Linked DNA regions of Canis lupus familiaris. The protein of the gene in region 1 binds, or shares a complex with, the protein of each later gene. Links are inferred from orthologs where the notes say so. Each region holds a gene or a part of one and is shown in the gene's direction. Other genes may lie near its edges.

The links.
Region 2: the proteins of FLT1 (region 1) and VEGFB are in contact, whole or in part, in a crystal structure (PDB 2XAC), measured with the Homo sapiens proteins. The link is inferred for Canis lupus familiaris from reciprocal best matches to the Homo sapiens genes FLT1 and VEGFB. Residues at the interface, in NP_002010.2 of Homo sapiens: Tyr139, Glu141, Pro143, Phe172, Pro173, Tyr199, Ile202, Gly203, Leu204, Asn219, Leu221, Arg224, Thr226; in NP_003368.1 of Homo sapiens: Ser37, Trp38, Ile39, Tyr42, Thr43, Thr46, Cys47, Gln48, Pro83, Asp84, Asp85, Gly86, Leu87, Cys124, Arg125, Pro126.

Annotation. Positions count from the first base shown.
Region 1 is NC_049246.1:11,438,923-11,446,302, forward strand, and holds part of FLT1 (vascular endothelial growth factor receptor 1), read left to right. Parts: intron 1-2,304; coding exon 2,305-2,418; intron 2,419-3,202; coding exon 3,203-3,291; intron 3,292-7,040; coding exon 7,041-7,197; intron 7,198-7,380. UniProt on the Homo sapiens protein: Tyrosine-protein kinase that acts as a cell-surface receptor for VEGFA, VEGFB and PGF, and plays an essential role in the development of embryonic vasculature, the regulation of angiogenesis, cell survival, cell migration, macrophage function, chemotaxis, and cancer cell invasion.
Region 2 is NC_049239.1:53,326,801-53,334,719, reverse strand, and holds VEGFB (vascular endothelial growth factor B), read left to right. Parts: upstream 1-2,701; 5' UTR 2,702-2,758; coding exon 2,759-2,818; intron 2,819-3,361; coding exon 3,362-3,404; intron 3,405-3,705; coding exon 3,706-3,902; intron 3,903-4,094; coding exon 4,095-4,168; intron 4,169-4,361; coding exon 4,362-4,397; intron 4,398-4,618; coding exon 4,619-4,832; coding exon of another isoform or gene 4,833-4,854; intron 4,855-5,460; coding exon of another isoform or gene 5,461-5,482; 3' UTR 5,483-5,898; downstream 5,899-7,919. Other genes in the region: DNAJC4 (dnaJ homolog subfamily C member 4), read left to right, coding at 119-212, 694-878, 968-1,129, 1,853-1,939, 2,023-2,125; peptidyl-prolyl cis-trans isomerase FKBP2, read left to right, coding at 7,731-7,789. UniProt on the Homo sapiens protein: Growth factor for endothelial cells. VEGF-B167 binds heparin and neuropilin-1 whereas the binding to neuropilin-1 of VEGF-B186 is regulated by proteolysis.

The DNA of each region.
Region 1 (7,380 bases):
AGTTCTACTTAAAAATAGCCAGGCAAGGAGTCTTACACCCACGAATCAGGACTTCTGTACGAAATGGACTGCTCAGATGATGGCAGGCCTTTCTGTGAGAATCCCTGCATTCCAGCACCCTGCCCCCCACACCCTGTGCCCCAGATTCTGAAGAGAAGAGGCATCCACATGTCCTCTGTATGAGAAAGCACCAGACTAAGTGCTTTACTGTGTTCAGTTGAATCACATGAAGTTGCCATTTTTCTTATTTTTCTCTCTTCAGCCTTGTGAGGTAGACATTATTTTCCCAGTTTCTGGCTGAGGAAACATGACTCAGAGAGGTTAAATCACTTCTGCAACATCCCATAGCTCACCAGTGCAACAGCAAGGGTTTGAATGTAGCACTGTTCTCCCCACCCCTACCACCATGGTGCTATACAAGAGGGGCTGCCGAAACCTGGCCTCTAGGAAATGGCCCATTGCCCTCAAATACTAACATGATCCTGGCCCAGGTTATGGAGGCAATCGAATATCCAACCTTGAGCTAAGTCAAAACTCCACCTGGAAGCATCTGCTTCCTTAGCTGGTCCCATTATCCTGCTTACTACCACACACCTTCTCCCAGAGAGGTGGCTCTCCTGCCTATGCTTATCTATTGTGGATCCAAGATAACACCTGCCTGTAAATGGAACAATCTGAGCAAGAGAGCCTGATTTTTGCCTCTGTGCCAAAGGGGCATAAAAGCATGCAGGGATTGATGAGTTTGAGGGGGAAGATTCTGACTTGAAAATTTTTAAAGGCCCAAAGAATGTATTCTATGCAATACTGAAATAAACATGTGTGGTCATCTTTTAAGTCTTAATTTTTTAAGAGATTGCCAAATAACCCACTATATAAAATTCCTAAAAACAATTTTCATTCAGCTTTCTTGCTTGAATTGGTTGGCCATCTGTTTCTAGGAGAAATTGAAAAGATAGAATGTCAGACATAGGCCATGAGTCAGAAGCTCTTTCAAAGTGCCCTTGAGCAGAACCTTTAACCTTTTTGGGCCTCATGCCCATGTCTGAAATGAGAAGAGTATTCAGGGTGTTTATTTTACTAACAAATATTTGTTGAGCATCTACTGTGAGCCAATCCCAACCCCGTTGGAAAGCTTCTAGAGCTTATCTGGGTATTACTTAAAAAATAATTCAAAACTGATTTGTCCTTATGAAATACCATGCACATGCTCTGGCCATTTCCCAGACTCTTCTACAGTCATACTTGCATATGAGTATGAAGATTACACATTGGCTATCTACTACAGCATTACTTGTAATGGCAAAACACACATACACACACAAACTGGTGACAGTTCAAATGTCAAGAATGCTATTAACTAACAGGAATGGAGAAAGTTTCTGACATATTAAAAAACCAAATTAAATATATATATTTATTAGATATATATAATATATATATGATCCCATTTATGTAAACAAAACAAAAAGACCTTTAAGTGGGTATATTTGTTTATAAATACACAGAAAAGGAGGCAAGTGATTGGAGCGGCCTTCAGTTTTTACTCTGTATACATCATGTTGTTGGAATATTTTACAATAAGATTATATGACTTTATTAATTTTGTAAATGCCTTATAAATTAACCAATAAGAAGGACACCCCACCACTACCACCACCAAAGAAAGAAAACAAACAGAACAAACTTAATTTAGGCTTTAGCCTCTGCTAAATCTTACACTGATGTTGTTTATCTCTGTGAATGAAGTTGAAGTCAGATGCTTATGGATCCTTACAACTCGAGATAACCCTGCAGACTCCAGGGAGGAAAAGGTTATAGGGAGAAAATAACACATTGCAAAGATGTTTACAGAAGTGGCCATTCCACTCTTGCAGACCCCTGGTGCTCCTTCTTTGTAAGTCTTCAAAGAGGGGAAAGTGAGAAAAAGAGGGGAGGTGTGGGCACATCCCCTGTCTGGAAGGTTCTTGCTGAGCCTGGTTCTGTAGAACGGAAGCTTTGGAAGGCGCCTCCATGAGGTGCCCAGCTCTGAGTCAGCGCATTGCTGAGCAGACCAGGTCCACCAAGAGGAAATGCCCAGTGACTAACCCCACCACTGCTTCTGGGCCTTACTGTAATCAAAAGGATGTTGGCTCAGGAGGGAGGGAGTAATGAAAACAGTCTGGAGACCTGGCCTTTCTGAAGACTGTGGGGAAGTTGGTGAAGCAACCGGCTCAGCGTTGGCAAACATGGAGGGCAGGAATGCCTCCTCCAGCGGAAAGAGCCCCATTGTCCTGTCGCCCTGACTCTTCCTTGTTTCTCACACAGAGGGGGCCACAGCCAGCGAATACAAAGCTCTGATGACTGAGCTCAAGATCTTGACCCACATTGGCCACCATCTGAATGTAGTCAACCTGCTAGGAGCCTGTACCAAGCAAGGAGGTAAATGAGAAGGAGGGCCTGCTCCCTCTCCCCATTCACATGCTAAGAGCAGAGTCTGACATACAGCTCCTTCTCCCCATTCCTCCTCACCTCCTGAAAAACAGCCTCTCGGTAGTTCCAGAGGAAACAGTTTGTCCATTTATGGAAAGGTGCTCCCATCCTAGAAATGCCTTCCCTGTACAGTTAATTGAAAGGCTCTAAATAGAAGGAATCCCTTTGAGACCTCCTTCCATGGGCTCCGGGTCATGTGGAGAGCATTTTTTCTCTCCGGATGGCTTTGAAGGAGGGTGGCCAGAGCTAAGGTAATGGTTAGAAGGTTGAGCATTCCTTGAAGCTTCACATAAAAGAAGAAGTTACTACTGGTAGAACCCCAGGAAGAGGTGATGTGAAGGACAACCAGAAGGGCCCTTCCCTTCACACAGCTTTTCCCCGCTGGGTCAAGCAGCCAGGACATGGCTATGGTCATGACTGAGGGCTCCAGCATGTTCCTGAATACTTTTCTATCTTCCCTCGTGGGGAGGTTAGCACTTGCGTATAGATGTGCGATCCCTGCCTAAGCCAGAAAGGAAGGTGCAAAAGACCTATGTGCACCAATGTTTTCCACAGTCAACAAAAGTAGTAGAGGGTAATCGGAAAGACTACCTGTTCAGAGTAGCAGGGGATACAGAAAGCGGGTAAGAGCTGGGAGGCCCCAACTAGCATCCTGGAGACCCAACCATAGGCTGCCTGCTTTCCCATTACCCTTGAAAATTGACAAATGACAAGTCATCTGTTTGGGGTGCAGGGCCTCTGATGGTGATCGTTGAATATTGCAAATACGGAAATCTGTCCAACTACCTCAAGAGCAAACGAGACTTATTCTTTCTCAACAAGGTAAGGAACTTAAGGGTTGGAGGTTTAGGCTACATCAGCATAAAGTAAGAGAAACCTGTATTTTTTCATTAATGACCAAGCCTAAAACCCAATCTCTGCTTTTTCCTTCCATGCCAATACAGCACACATTTTGTGGGCAGCACAGAGAATATGTAATCCCAGCATATGCAGCAAAACTTAGAGGTTAAAATTTAGGAGCCATCTACCTAACTACCTGTTCAAGCATCTTGATCATTTTCTTTCTTTCTTTCTCTCCATACATACGCAGACACCGACACAAATCATGGGGTTACTTGTTTCTTTAAAGATGATAGCAAATATAATTGTCCCCATTTATTAGAGAAATTAATGCCTCAATCAACTGAGTGACTTAGCAGTGAACACAAAGGCAGTGTTGGGCCAGAGAAATTATTTTCTCCTCTTGCTATGCCCTTTATTCTGCTTTCCCCAGACCCTTGCCCCCACAGTCAGCCCTGCACACAAACATGGAACCAGCCTTACCCACTAAAATAAAGCTACATAACAAAAGGAACATGTAGGTTTAAGTCCTGAAGGCAAACAAAATCTAAAAGAGATTATTGAATGGAGGAGAAGGTTTGATAAAACTTTGCCAGTGTGACTCATCCCACCAGTATTGTATCCTTTCCTGGGCTGGAGCAGCTTAGGGAGGAATGACTTGACATTATTAACTGCTAGTCAGCAGTGCTGGTGATGAGTCTACAGTGTGGTGATGAAACACACAGACTCCAGAACCAGGCATCCTGGGTTTAAATCCTGTTTCTCTCACTCAAAATCTGGGACCTTGGGCAAGCTACTCTACCTCTCAGTCTCAGGCCCCTCTTTTATTAAATGGAGGGAATAACAGAACCGAACTCATGGCATTGTTGAGAGAATCACGTTCTTCATTGAATTAAGTACTCTATAAATGTTAACTGTCGTTATTGTTACTGAGATAGAAAGATTGGGAGAGTCCAACTTAATGCCACCAATCTATACGACCTATATGATGGACAAAGTGCTGCACATCCAAGAATTCTGCCCAACTGTCACATGGACAGCAGTATTCACGGGACAAACAAATAAGAACCACTGGACAGCTGGCCAATTCTCTCATCCCTCCAACTTTGACCCAACCAAAGACACAGGTGGTCTATCAGACTTAGAAACATATAGGCAAGAACATATTGTCTCCAATTATAAACCATGCCCTCCAGTAGTTAAAATCTTGAAGCTGAAGGGGCACCTCACTTGGCTCAGTTGGTAGAGCATATGACTCAATCTTGGGGTCCTGAGTTCAAGCCCCATGTTGGGAGATAGAGATTTTTTAAAATTGATCTGGAAAGGACCTTTGTGATCAGCTAGTTCACTCTCTTACATTATAGATGTGCCCAGCAAAGTCAAGTGATTGACTTACACTTACACTTTTAGAGGTGAAGTCTGGGGGAAAAGAGCCCAGGTCTCTTGACAACCCTTGCAAAGCCTTCCTGTACACGAGACTGGATAAGGAAGGTGGGGTGGGGACGGCAGAGAGGGAGACACCACAAGAAAAGGGGGAAAGTGGTGGCTTGGGTGGAGAGCGGTGCAAAGTCCCTTCAGTCCTGAAATCCTGGACTGCTTCAAGAAGAACTAAGGCAGCAGCCTACCCCAGGGACCTGGGCAGGATGGAACGTTTGGGTTCGTGCGTCCTTTGTTTAGAAGGCTCTGCTTCCTCCCCTGGCTATATTTAATGATTCGCCTCCCTGTTGGTGGAGCTCCGTGTTTTCATGGAAAACACATGGCTGTATTTCATATTTGGAACCTAAAGGAATATAAAGAGAAAGTGAAGGAAAAACCAAGAGTCTAAATAGAAATGGGATATTTCATTTTCCAAATAAATGCACCAGGCTCTTTAAATACTATTTGTAATAAATTCACCGCGTACTGCTAGAGTCCCGAAAGTTCCGTACATCCAACCTTTAATATAAACAGTGGTGCTTACCAATAAGCAAAGCTGAATATAGAATAGATTGGGAGTCAAGGAGTGGGTGAGGGAGCCTGAGTTCTGGTCCCTGCAGACAGCCGTATCCGGGCTGTGACCACTGGGAAGATGAATACGAAGGCTGCTCATCACATGACGAGATGAGCACTAGGTGTTATACTATATATTAGCAAATTGAATTTAAATAAAGTATTTAAAAATTTACAAAAATAAATAAATAAATAAAAAGAAAGGCTGCCCAGAGAGTGGAGAGCATTGTCATGGGCTGACCCATGAGCGGACCTATTGAGCACTCTTCTCCCTACACCCCTGCCAGTGCCATTTCCCTGCTTCGTTGTGTCCTGAGAAGGGGCCTAGTGAAAAATCCAATTCCAGTAACCCCCACCCCCCGCCCCAGCAGAACCAACCTTAACTGCCTCTGGGAGACACAGCAACAAAGAATTATAGTTTATTTATTTTCGGGTAAGTCACCTGCGGTGGCAGCAGGGATCTATACTGAGGCCTGCCCCCCCCTCCCCCATCCTCCCTCAGCAGGGCTTCTGCAGGTTTCTTGTCAGGAGGCAGGAGCCTGGAACCCCCTCCCCCCGCCCCCCACGCTGAGTTTGCTGGCTGTCCCTCCTCTGTCTTCTGCTTACTCCCAACGCGCCCTCTAGTGGAGGGATCTCTCCTACTTCGTGACATTTCTAGAAAAAGCCAAGCAAGAATGAATCCTAGCACCTCTGCTCTGTGCAGGTGCAGAAAGGGACACCACTGAGCCCTAGTCCCTCTGAGCCCCTTCCTCAGTAGTGCCAGCTAGCATTACTGAGCGAGGTGTATGCTCCACCAGTACATAGTCACGAAGCCACCGGGAGTGCCAAGTTTGTAGTGTCAACAGTTATTAGGTAAATTGCCAAAGATGATAAAAATCTTTCCGGTTCCACATGAACACCCAGAACCAACACCTCCTTTCCTAGGAGTCCAAACATAATAAGATGGAGCTTTTCCAGTGAGGAAAGTGAGACCCAAAAAAGGTCATTTGCCCGATCTTACATAGTTAATGGAAGAGCCAGATTACACACCAAGGCTTGGATGCCCAGTCCAGGATAAAAGGTCTTTTCTACCCTTTTTAGGATCAAACAGTGTCTTTGTTTTGAATGGAGGGGAGACAAAGAAATGTCCGTGTTCCCTTCTTCCCCAGAGAAACCAGAGAAATTGATAAGTATAACCTTCTCTCATTACTCAGAGGGATTATGCCATGTGAAGCCCCAAGTCCACTAGGGATTTGTTTCTACTATTCGGATTATCTTTCACAAGATGGTGTGTGGTATGGAAAAAGTGGTTAAGGGCATGGACTGGAGTTGGCCAAGCCTGAGTTCAAGCTTTGCCATTTACTACTTGCATGGGGCTTTTTACTGCTTGCCTCCTCTGAACCTATTTCTTCATGGAGAAGCAAGAAGTACTTCATAAAGTTGTTACAGAGATTAAATGTGAAAATGTACTTAAGATTCTTCATACAGTGGCTGGCACAGAGTAAGCGCTCAGTGAATACCAGCGACTATTAATATTTCTTTATTCTGCCTAAGATGCTATCTGGAAACCCCCTCAAAAGCAGAACAGACTCCAGAACCCCAGGGAAGAGCCAGGCACCTGAGCGCCATAGGGCCCTCGCGCTTACTCTCCGGTTTGTGCCACGAACTCTCCCAACTCAGGCGACTGCCAGCTCGAGGGATTAGTTTCCTCATTGCTATTCTGAAAGTCTCTTTCCTCTGTGTCCTTCTTGGTCTGTTCAAAGGATGCAGCATTACACATGGAGCCTAAGAAAGAAAAAATGGAGCCAGATCCGGAGCAAGACAAGAAACAAAGACTAGATAGTGTCACCAGCAGTGAGAGCTTCGCAAGCTCCGGGTTTCAGGAAGATAAAAGTCTGAGTGATGTTGAGGAAGAGGAGGGTAGGTATTAATTCCTTCCTGTCCTACAGTCTGAGATATTTTTACAACATACTGTGCATCTCTGAAATTTTTTTCTTATTTATCACCCTAATAAACATCCGTGGGAGACTTGAAGGATAATGTCCTGAGGAGATAAGATTTGAATTAAGATTATTTACAGAGTTGCTAATTTTGACAGGGAAC
Region 2 (7,919 bases), on another chromosome or scaffold:
TTTTATCTTCCTCCCAGTTTCTGAGTTGAGGACTGTGGCCCAGAGGTGCTGGGAGGGGGAGGGGAGGAAGAGCCTCTGTGTTTCCACAGCCCTTGCAGTTTCTGGCCTATTTCCACAGGTCTGGCCCCAGGAACTACTATGAACTGTTAGGGGTGCATCCTGGTGCCAGCACTGAAGAAGTTAAACGAGCTTTCTTCTCCAAGTCCAAAGAGGTACCAGTGGTCCTAGGCGGGGAGGAGGGAGGATAAGGCTGAGCAGATAGGGTACACTTCAGATTGCCAGGAGTGGAGCCGAGGGGCTCACTCTGGATGGTGCCACATTCCCTTAGCATGTATAGAGAATGGCAGGTGCCCCAAGAGCAGTGGTCTGGCCAGCTGGGAGGAAAGGCTGGGGACGGGAGCCAGGGGTTCTATGTGATGGGCTGGGCTTGGTTCTGATCTGCCTGCTCTTGAGAAAGCCAGGGCATATAGTGAGAGCCAGGCAGCAGGTGGGAAGGCCTTGAACAAGGGGAAGGGGAGGAGTCTGTGCTCCCTGACTCTGGCCTTCTAGAGGGGTGGGCAGCCCTAAGAGTGAGAGTTCCTCTCCAGGCAGGGCCTCCAGAGATGATTTGAACCTTTGTGGGTGGACATTATTGGGATGGGTTCTGTGATGGGGCATGGAAAAAGAGCTGAAGAGAGTCCTGCCCCACCCCAGCTGCACCCTGATCGGGACCCTGGGAACCCAGCCCTGCACAGCCGCTTTGTGGAGCTGAGTGAAGCATACCAAGTGCTCAGCCATGAGCACAGCCGCCGCAGCTATGATCACCAGCTCAGCTCCACAACTCCTCCAAAGTCTCCAGGAACCACAGTCCATCCCAGGGCTGCTCATCAAGCGCACAGGTGCAGTAGTCCTGCCCCTGGCTTGCCCCATTCCCCAAGTCTCCTGGGGCACCTCATTCCCATACTTCCTTTCTTCTCCCTCTCAGCAGCTCCTGGGCACCCCCCAATGCACAATACTGGGCCCAGTTTCATGGTGTGAGGCCTCAGGGACCAGAGTCAAGGCAGCAGCAGCACAGACACAACCAGCGGGTGCTGGGATACTGCCTCCTGATCATGTTGGCAGGCATGGGCCTGCACTATGTTGCCTTCAGGTACATCCCTGCCTTCCGCCTGGGGTGATGGGCAGAGGGTGGAGGGTGGGTGGAGCCCAGTGTGGTCAGCCATACATCCACACCACCCCTGCAGCTTGCGCTTTTGTGTCTCTCAAGCTAAGAATTGCATGAAGTAGCTCCTGAACCTCTCCTTACTTGGCAAAGACATCTCTACACTAACTAAGGGCTAATGTCATTTTCAGGGTTTTTTTTTTTTTTTTTTTTTTTGTCATTTGAATGTAAATCTTTGGTGCTGCTGATAGGATGTGCTGGAGCCACCAAGATCCTGCACAAGGAAATATGTTGTAACTGGGCCTCACCGGCAACTACCCTCAGTTGTTTGGCAATCGGCTGTCTCCCCGCCATCCTTTTATGCATGCCATGAATACCAGGGTTCTACCACAAAGATATCTAAAGGCTGGTGCCCACTGCTAGCAGCCTGCCTAGCTCCGTGATGCATTAGATGTATACCCTTTCTAGTCTCCTGCGAGGAACATTCTGATGTTCAGAGCTGCTATCACCACCTTCAACAAGACAGAGACCTGGGTCACCCATGGACCCTGGATAAGCCCCTGCCCTTCCATGCCCCTCTGCCCACCTAGCACAGGCAGTTAGGCAGAGGTCCTCACAGATGTAAAGCTGTGAGACCCTAGAGTTGCCAGGATGGTGGGGGTTGGATTTGGGGGACAGCAGGGATTGGGGTTAATTGTAACCCCCTTGCAGGAAGCTGGAGCAGATGCACCGGAGCTTCATGGATGAAAAGGATCGGATAATCACAGCCATCTACAATGACACACGGGCCCGGGCCAGGTCTGTCCCTGCTCTCCCTTCACTGTCCTGGCACCACCCTCTGGGATCCTCTGCCCTGACCACCCGGGTGCTCTCTCCTGCAGGGCCAACAGAGCCAAGCTCCAGGAGCAACTGCAGAGGCAGCGGCTGCAGCCACCACCTGGAGGCCCAGGGATCGTGTCTCCGGGCACAGGCACCCGCCCGTGAGCAGCTCGCTGGGATGGGGCCTTGCTACCCCATGGGACTTCCCACTCCCCAAAACGCGTGCAATAAAGTGATTCTCAGAGCTCGTGTCCGGCTCCTTGCTTCACGCCCTGCGGCCCCCGTCCCGGGCCTCACCGGGGAACGGCACCCCGCCCTCGCCGTCCCGGCGGCAGCGACCCGGGAGCCCGGCCCCCTGGGCGGTGCGTCCCCTTTCCCCTGCTGCGGCGGGAGGGGGGTGTGTGGAGGGGGCGGGCCCCGGCGGCGGCCTCGCCCCCCCTCCCCCGCCCCGCCCCTGCCCCGCGGCCCGGTGGGGAGCGCGTGTCTGGGTCACATGAGCCGCCCGCCCGCCAGCCCGGGCCCGGCCCCCCGCCGCCCCCGCCGTCCCCGCCGTCCCCGCCGCCGTCGCCTGCCGCCACCGGCCGCCTTCCCGCCCGGCTCCTCCGGCCGCCGCCGCTGCGCTGCGCTGCGCTGCCTGCGCTCAGGGCTCGGGAGGGGGCCGCGGAGGAGCCGCCCCCCGCCCCCGGCCCCCGCCCGCCGCGCCCGGGCCCGCGCCATGGGGCTCTGGCTGCCGCCGCCCCCCGCGCCCCCGGGCTAGGGCGATGCGGGCGCCCCCGGCGCGCGGCCCCCGCGGGCACCATGGGCCCCCTGCTCCGCAGCCTGCTGCTCGCCGCGCTCCTGCAGCTGGCCCCCGCCCAGGTACGTGCGTCCCCGACATCCCGCCGGGCCGCCCGCCTTGCCCTCTCTCAAGGTTGGCGGAAGTGGGGAGATGCGGCGCGGCCTCTGCCGCGGGGACCCGCGGGGTCGGGCTGCGGGCCGGGGCGTGGCGAGGATCCGGCCGGGGCATCCCCCGGGAGGAGTCCCTCCCCGCCGGCCCGCCAGCCCAGCCCTGGGCCACTCCCCTGCCCCACCCCGTCCCCTGGGCTCGGACGGGGGTGGGGTGGGGGGGTGGAGCCGCCCGGTGCCCGCAGGACTTGGCTCGGCGCCCACTGTGCCCCGGGGGCCCCCAGGCTTGGAGACTGGACGTTGCTGCGCCGCCACCACCACCACCGTGGCCAGGGCAGGTCTCAGGTGGCCAGGAGAGGCCAGGTAAAGCTAGAGTGACCCCAGGAGCAGAGCAATCTGGAAAAATGCCATAGAGGAGTTGAAGCCCTTTGATGGCCAGGGCAGAGCCCTGGGGACAGCGACAGGGCTAGCCCTTCCTTGAGTGCACCTTGGGTCCAGGTCCCTTCTCTCCTACAGGGCCCTGTGTCCCAGCCTGATGCCCTCAGCCACCAGAAGAAAGGTAATAGTAACAATAACCACCCTAACCAGCCCTGAGGAGGTTAGCCTGTCTAATGAGTGACTATTCACTCTCCAAGATGCAAACTCTTATTCTGCCCATTTCACAGAAGAGGAAGTTGAGGCAGTGGGGTTCCTGGGTTCCTGGCCAGGGGAAGGCAGCTTGTGAGGGCAGAAAGGGCCAGTGAAGGGTGGCTGTGACACAGGAATTAGGGAGAACAGCTGTGGGGTACAGGGGACAGGGCAACTGGGGAGCAGCTGCAGTAAACCCAGCGAGGACTTAACCCTTATGCATCTACCCCCAGTGGTGTCATGGATAGATGTATATGCCCGTGCCACCTGCCAGCCACGGGAGGTGGTAGTGCCTCTGACTGTGGAGCTCATGGGCACGGTGGCCAAGCAACTGGTGCCCAGCTGCGTGACAGTGCAACGCTGCGGTGGCTGCTGCCCTGACGATGGCCTGGAGTGTGTGCCCACTGGGCAGCACCAAGTCCGAATGCAGGTACTAGGACAGAGGGAGTGTGCCCAGCTGGGGTGGATGCCAGTGCTCTGGGGTGGTGGGGGTGGGGGAGTGGGGGCAATGGCCAGAACCTTGGCTGGTGGGCAAGCTGTTCTCCCTCCAGCCTGTGGAGCATTCCTTTTCTCTCTCTCTCATTGTCTCTTACACTGTCTCTTCTCCGTCTCTGGAATACAGATCCTCATGATTCGTTACCCAAGCAGTCAGCTGGGCGAGATGTCCCTGGAAGAACACAGCCAGTGTGAATGCAGGTGCCAGCCAGGCCCCACTTCTGAGCTCACAGAGACCAGGCTCGGGGGGTGCCGGGCATAGTGGTACACCACGGTGGGGACCAGATCTCCAAGACTCGAACTTGGGGTAGGCCTGGGATCTGGGCTAAGAGAGTAGGATGCTCGGCTTTTCTGATCCTCTTCCTCGTTTCTGTCCCTCCCTCTTACTTTTCAGACCAAAAAAGAGAGAGAGTGCTCTGAAGCCAGACAGGTGAGTCTCTTGGGCTCTTACTGAGATGGGGTTGGAACCCAGGCCCAGCAGCCAGGATGTAACCTGTGGACGGGGCAGGGGGGTGCAGTCCCAACCCCTTTCTCCTCCCACCGAGTCTACCTCTCTTTTCCTCTGCTCCCCGAGTCTGTGTGCTCTGACCCAACCCCAGCTCCTGGGAAGGCTTTTCTTTCCCACCCCAGACATGTTGCTTCTCCTCCTAGGGCTTCCACTCCCCACCACCGCCCCCAGCCCCGCTCCATTCCGGGCTGGGACTCTGCCCCCGGAGCACCCTCCCCAGCTGACATCACCCATCCCACTCCAGCCCCAGGCCCCTCTGCCCACGCTGCACCCAGCGCCGCCAGCGCCCTGACCCCAGGACCTGCCGCTGCCGCTGCCAACGCCGCAGCTTCCTCCGTTGCCAAGGGCGGGGCCTAGAGCTCAACCCAGACACCTGCAGGTGAGGAGCTGAGGGCAGCATTTGCTGGGGAAGGCATCAGGGCCTCTGGAGCGGGTCCAGAGATGAGCCTGCCAGGGAAGGGGAAGCTGCTGAATGTGTTGAACAAATATTTGCCAAGCTTCCACTGGCACTGGGATCAGTGTAAACAAAGTTAACATTCTCATGTGAGTCAGACACGAGATATGCGATGCCAGCAGAGGAGGTCAAGGGCTGAGGTCAGGGGCACCCGAAATGGTCTCCAAGAGGTCACAGATGCTCTGATGGGAACATCTGCCTGTGGTAAAGATGAGAGCCATGGCTCTCCAATTTTGGAAGCTCTGGGCCTTCCTAAAAGCCCCTGTAGGAGACATTTGTCCCACCTTGTGGGCTCTGTGAGAGGCCAGGGGACACAGTGGAATCCTTGTCCACCTTCTCTGAGGTGCTTCTCACCACTCCTCCCTTCCACAGTGAGGCCCCGAAGTGGCGTTATGTGGGCCAGGCCAGCTGGCGCTCGCCAGGTGCGTTAGGAGAGAATGGGGGTTCATAGAAGGTAACAAAGGGGTGAATTGCCAGGAGTAGGGGCTGAACTATGCCTGCATGAACAGATCTCTTCCTTCCCTTCCTCAGGTGCCGGAAGCTGCGAAGGTGACACGTTGCTTTTCAGACTCAGCAGGGCCACTAGCCTCACAAGCCACCCCCACAGAGGGGGTACTGGGGGCAACATGTTGAGAATAGCCTAGTCCCAAGACCTCGGCATGGGCAGAAGCTGCTCCAGGACCTGGGCCTCTCGGAGGACTTTCTAGCTGTCCCGGTCTCTCCAAGGCTGCCAACTGACAGGGTGGGCAGCTGGCTGGGAACATGTGTAGGTGGCACCAGGGGTCGCAGACTAACTCTGAAAAGAAGGGGTACCGTCTCAGTGTTCAACCACCATGTGCAAGTGAGATCTTACAGCTGGCTCCTCTGTCCCCTCACTAAGACACTGATCCTCTGCAAATACTGGGAATTGGGCTTCAGTGTGAGAACTGTGACCCCCAACCCTGATAAAGAGAGATGGAAGGAGCTGTCCCTGCCTGTGTCACTGTTTGTCACTGTCCAGGCTGGGTGATCCAGGCATTCTGCATCACACTGCCTCCCAGACTTAGAGCCGGTTTTACTCCCTCATTGTGCAGATGGAGGAAATGAGGCCCAAGGTCCCCCAGCAGGTCACAAGACTGAGCCAGAGTTGTGTATTCTTCATGGTCCTGCTGTCACATCTAGGCCCTTGGGGGCGGGGGGGGGGGGGGTGCTCTGCCCCTTGCCATCACAAAGGCTCCTTTCTGGAAGGAGATGGCCTGCTCTGGCCAGTGAGCTCAAGGTGGGATCCGGATCTGCTGAATCATCTTGGTTGTCACTGGCCCCTCTCTGAGCTTCACCTTCCACATGGGCACATGGAGGGAACGGATGATTGCTATGGCCCCGGCCTTGGGACTTCAGGAAAGTCCGAGTATGTCTTCACTTGATAGAAAAACCCCTCTTCTCTGCCGGGCAGCACTCTGCATGTAAGCTACTTCATATAGCTTAACTCTAAAGCCACACACCTGCCCTGTCCCCACATCCCTGGAAGGGAAGTACAAAAGGGCTGTGGCTGGTGGGCTTGCCTTGGGAGATAGGCCTCCTCACCTCCAACCACACGTTTTTCTCCACCTTTCTCGGCCCCTTTGCCTTGGGCTCCCCTCAGCAGCTCCTGCTTGGGACTGTCCTGACTTTTGTCTGACCCAGCCGAAGCCGAGCGCCTGCAGCTTCCAGTGTCCCTGGGGTGGAGCTGTGAGGGGCCGACCAAAGGCCAACCTCGGCTACCAGCGGTTGGCCTTGCTGAGACAGGACATTCAGGGTTACAGGTTGGCCCGGAGTGGCTACCCTAATGGAAGCCTTCTCTGAGGTGTGAGATTGGAGGGCATGGCCGGGATCTTGCTGGACCCAAGGCAGGAGTGGGGTTAGACCAGAAGACAATTCCTGATAGTGGTCACTGCTTCTCAAACCACTATTCTCAGCTATGCCGTCACTGGAAATGCTGTAGCGCGACCAAAGTGAGACAGATGAGGGCTGGGGACTCTAGAGCTGCCACTTCCCCTGCCCACTTGGTGCTGGACAAGCACAGCGCTCCATATGCGCCCCTTGCTTAGTCCTCAATTCTCCGGTCAGCGCTGCTGATTATCTTCCTTTCCCAGGCCCAGCAAGGCTGAGGGACCGGGGATGTGCCCTCAAGTCTGGGGTCTCTAACACTGCTTAGGTTTGGTCGCCTCGCGACTACAGGTTCATTCCTTCAGTGGAGAGATGTCGGGGCACCTGAGCACGGCTGTCGGGGTGGGGAAGGGCCCGGCCACAGCACCACCGCCATGGCTCCGTGGTCCGCGTGCGTCGGGTCGAGGCGGGCCCGGACGTTGGCCAGGCCGAAGGCAGAGCGTTAGCTGTGGGCCAGAGCCCGCCGGAGCACATGGTGGCAGCAGTCCGTCCCTCCACGGCCCTGCCAGCACAGGGACTCCAGATCCTACCAGGCCCGGCCGCTCGCTCGAGGTCACGCTGCCAGTCAACGCACGGCAGACCCCACGTTCAAAGCCAACCCGGGGGCAAGCGGGAGCGCTGTGGTAGCCAGGGGACGGAATAAAATGGCGTCCCCAGACCCCTTCCGGGAGCCTGCGTCCGCCTGACCTTACCCTCACCTCGACCGGAAGTGCCGGAGGCTCTTTAGGAAGTCACTTTCACCTAACTTCACCGACGACCGCGCCGCCGGAAGTAGCGCGCCGTCACTTGGCGCGGGGGCGGGGCTGGGGGCAAGGCCGCCGCAGCGGGCGGGTGGCAGCGGGTTTTGCGCAGTCCAATGAGGGCGGGCGGCGTGGCCCGGCCTGGTAGCGACGCTGATGCGCCTGCGCAGAGGCGGCCGCACGACTGGGGTTGACTCCGGGGGCGCGGCGAGGAGGTGAGCGGGGGCCACAGCCCGGGCTGGGGGGAGCCGGGGCGCAAGGGCCAGGCTGGATCAGGCCGGGCAGGAGCGGGCGGGGCTCCGAGTGTCAACGAGGGATAGGTTAGGAGGAAACTGGGGGTTGGGG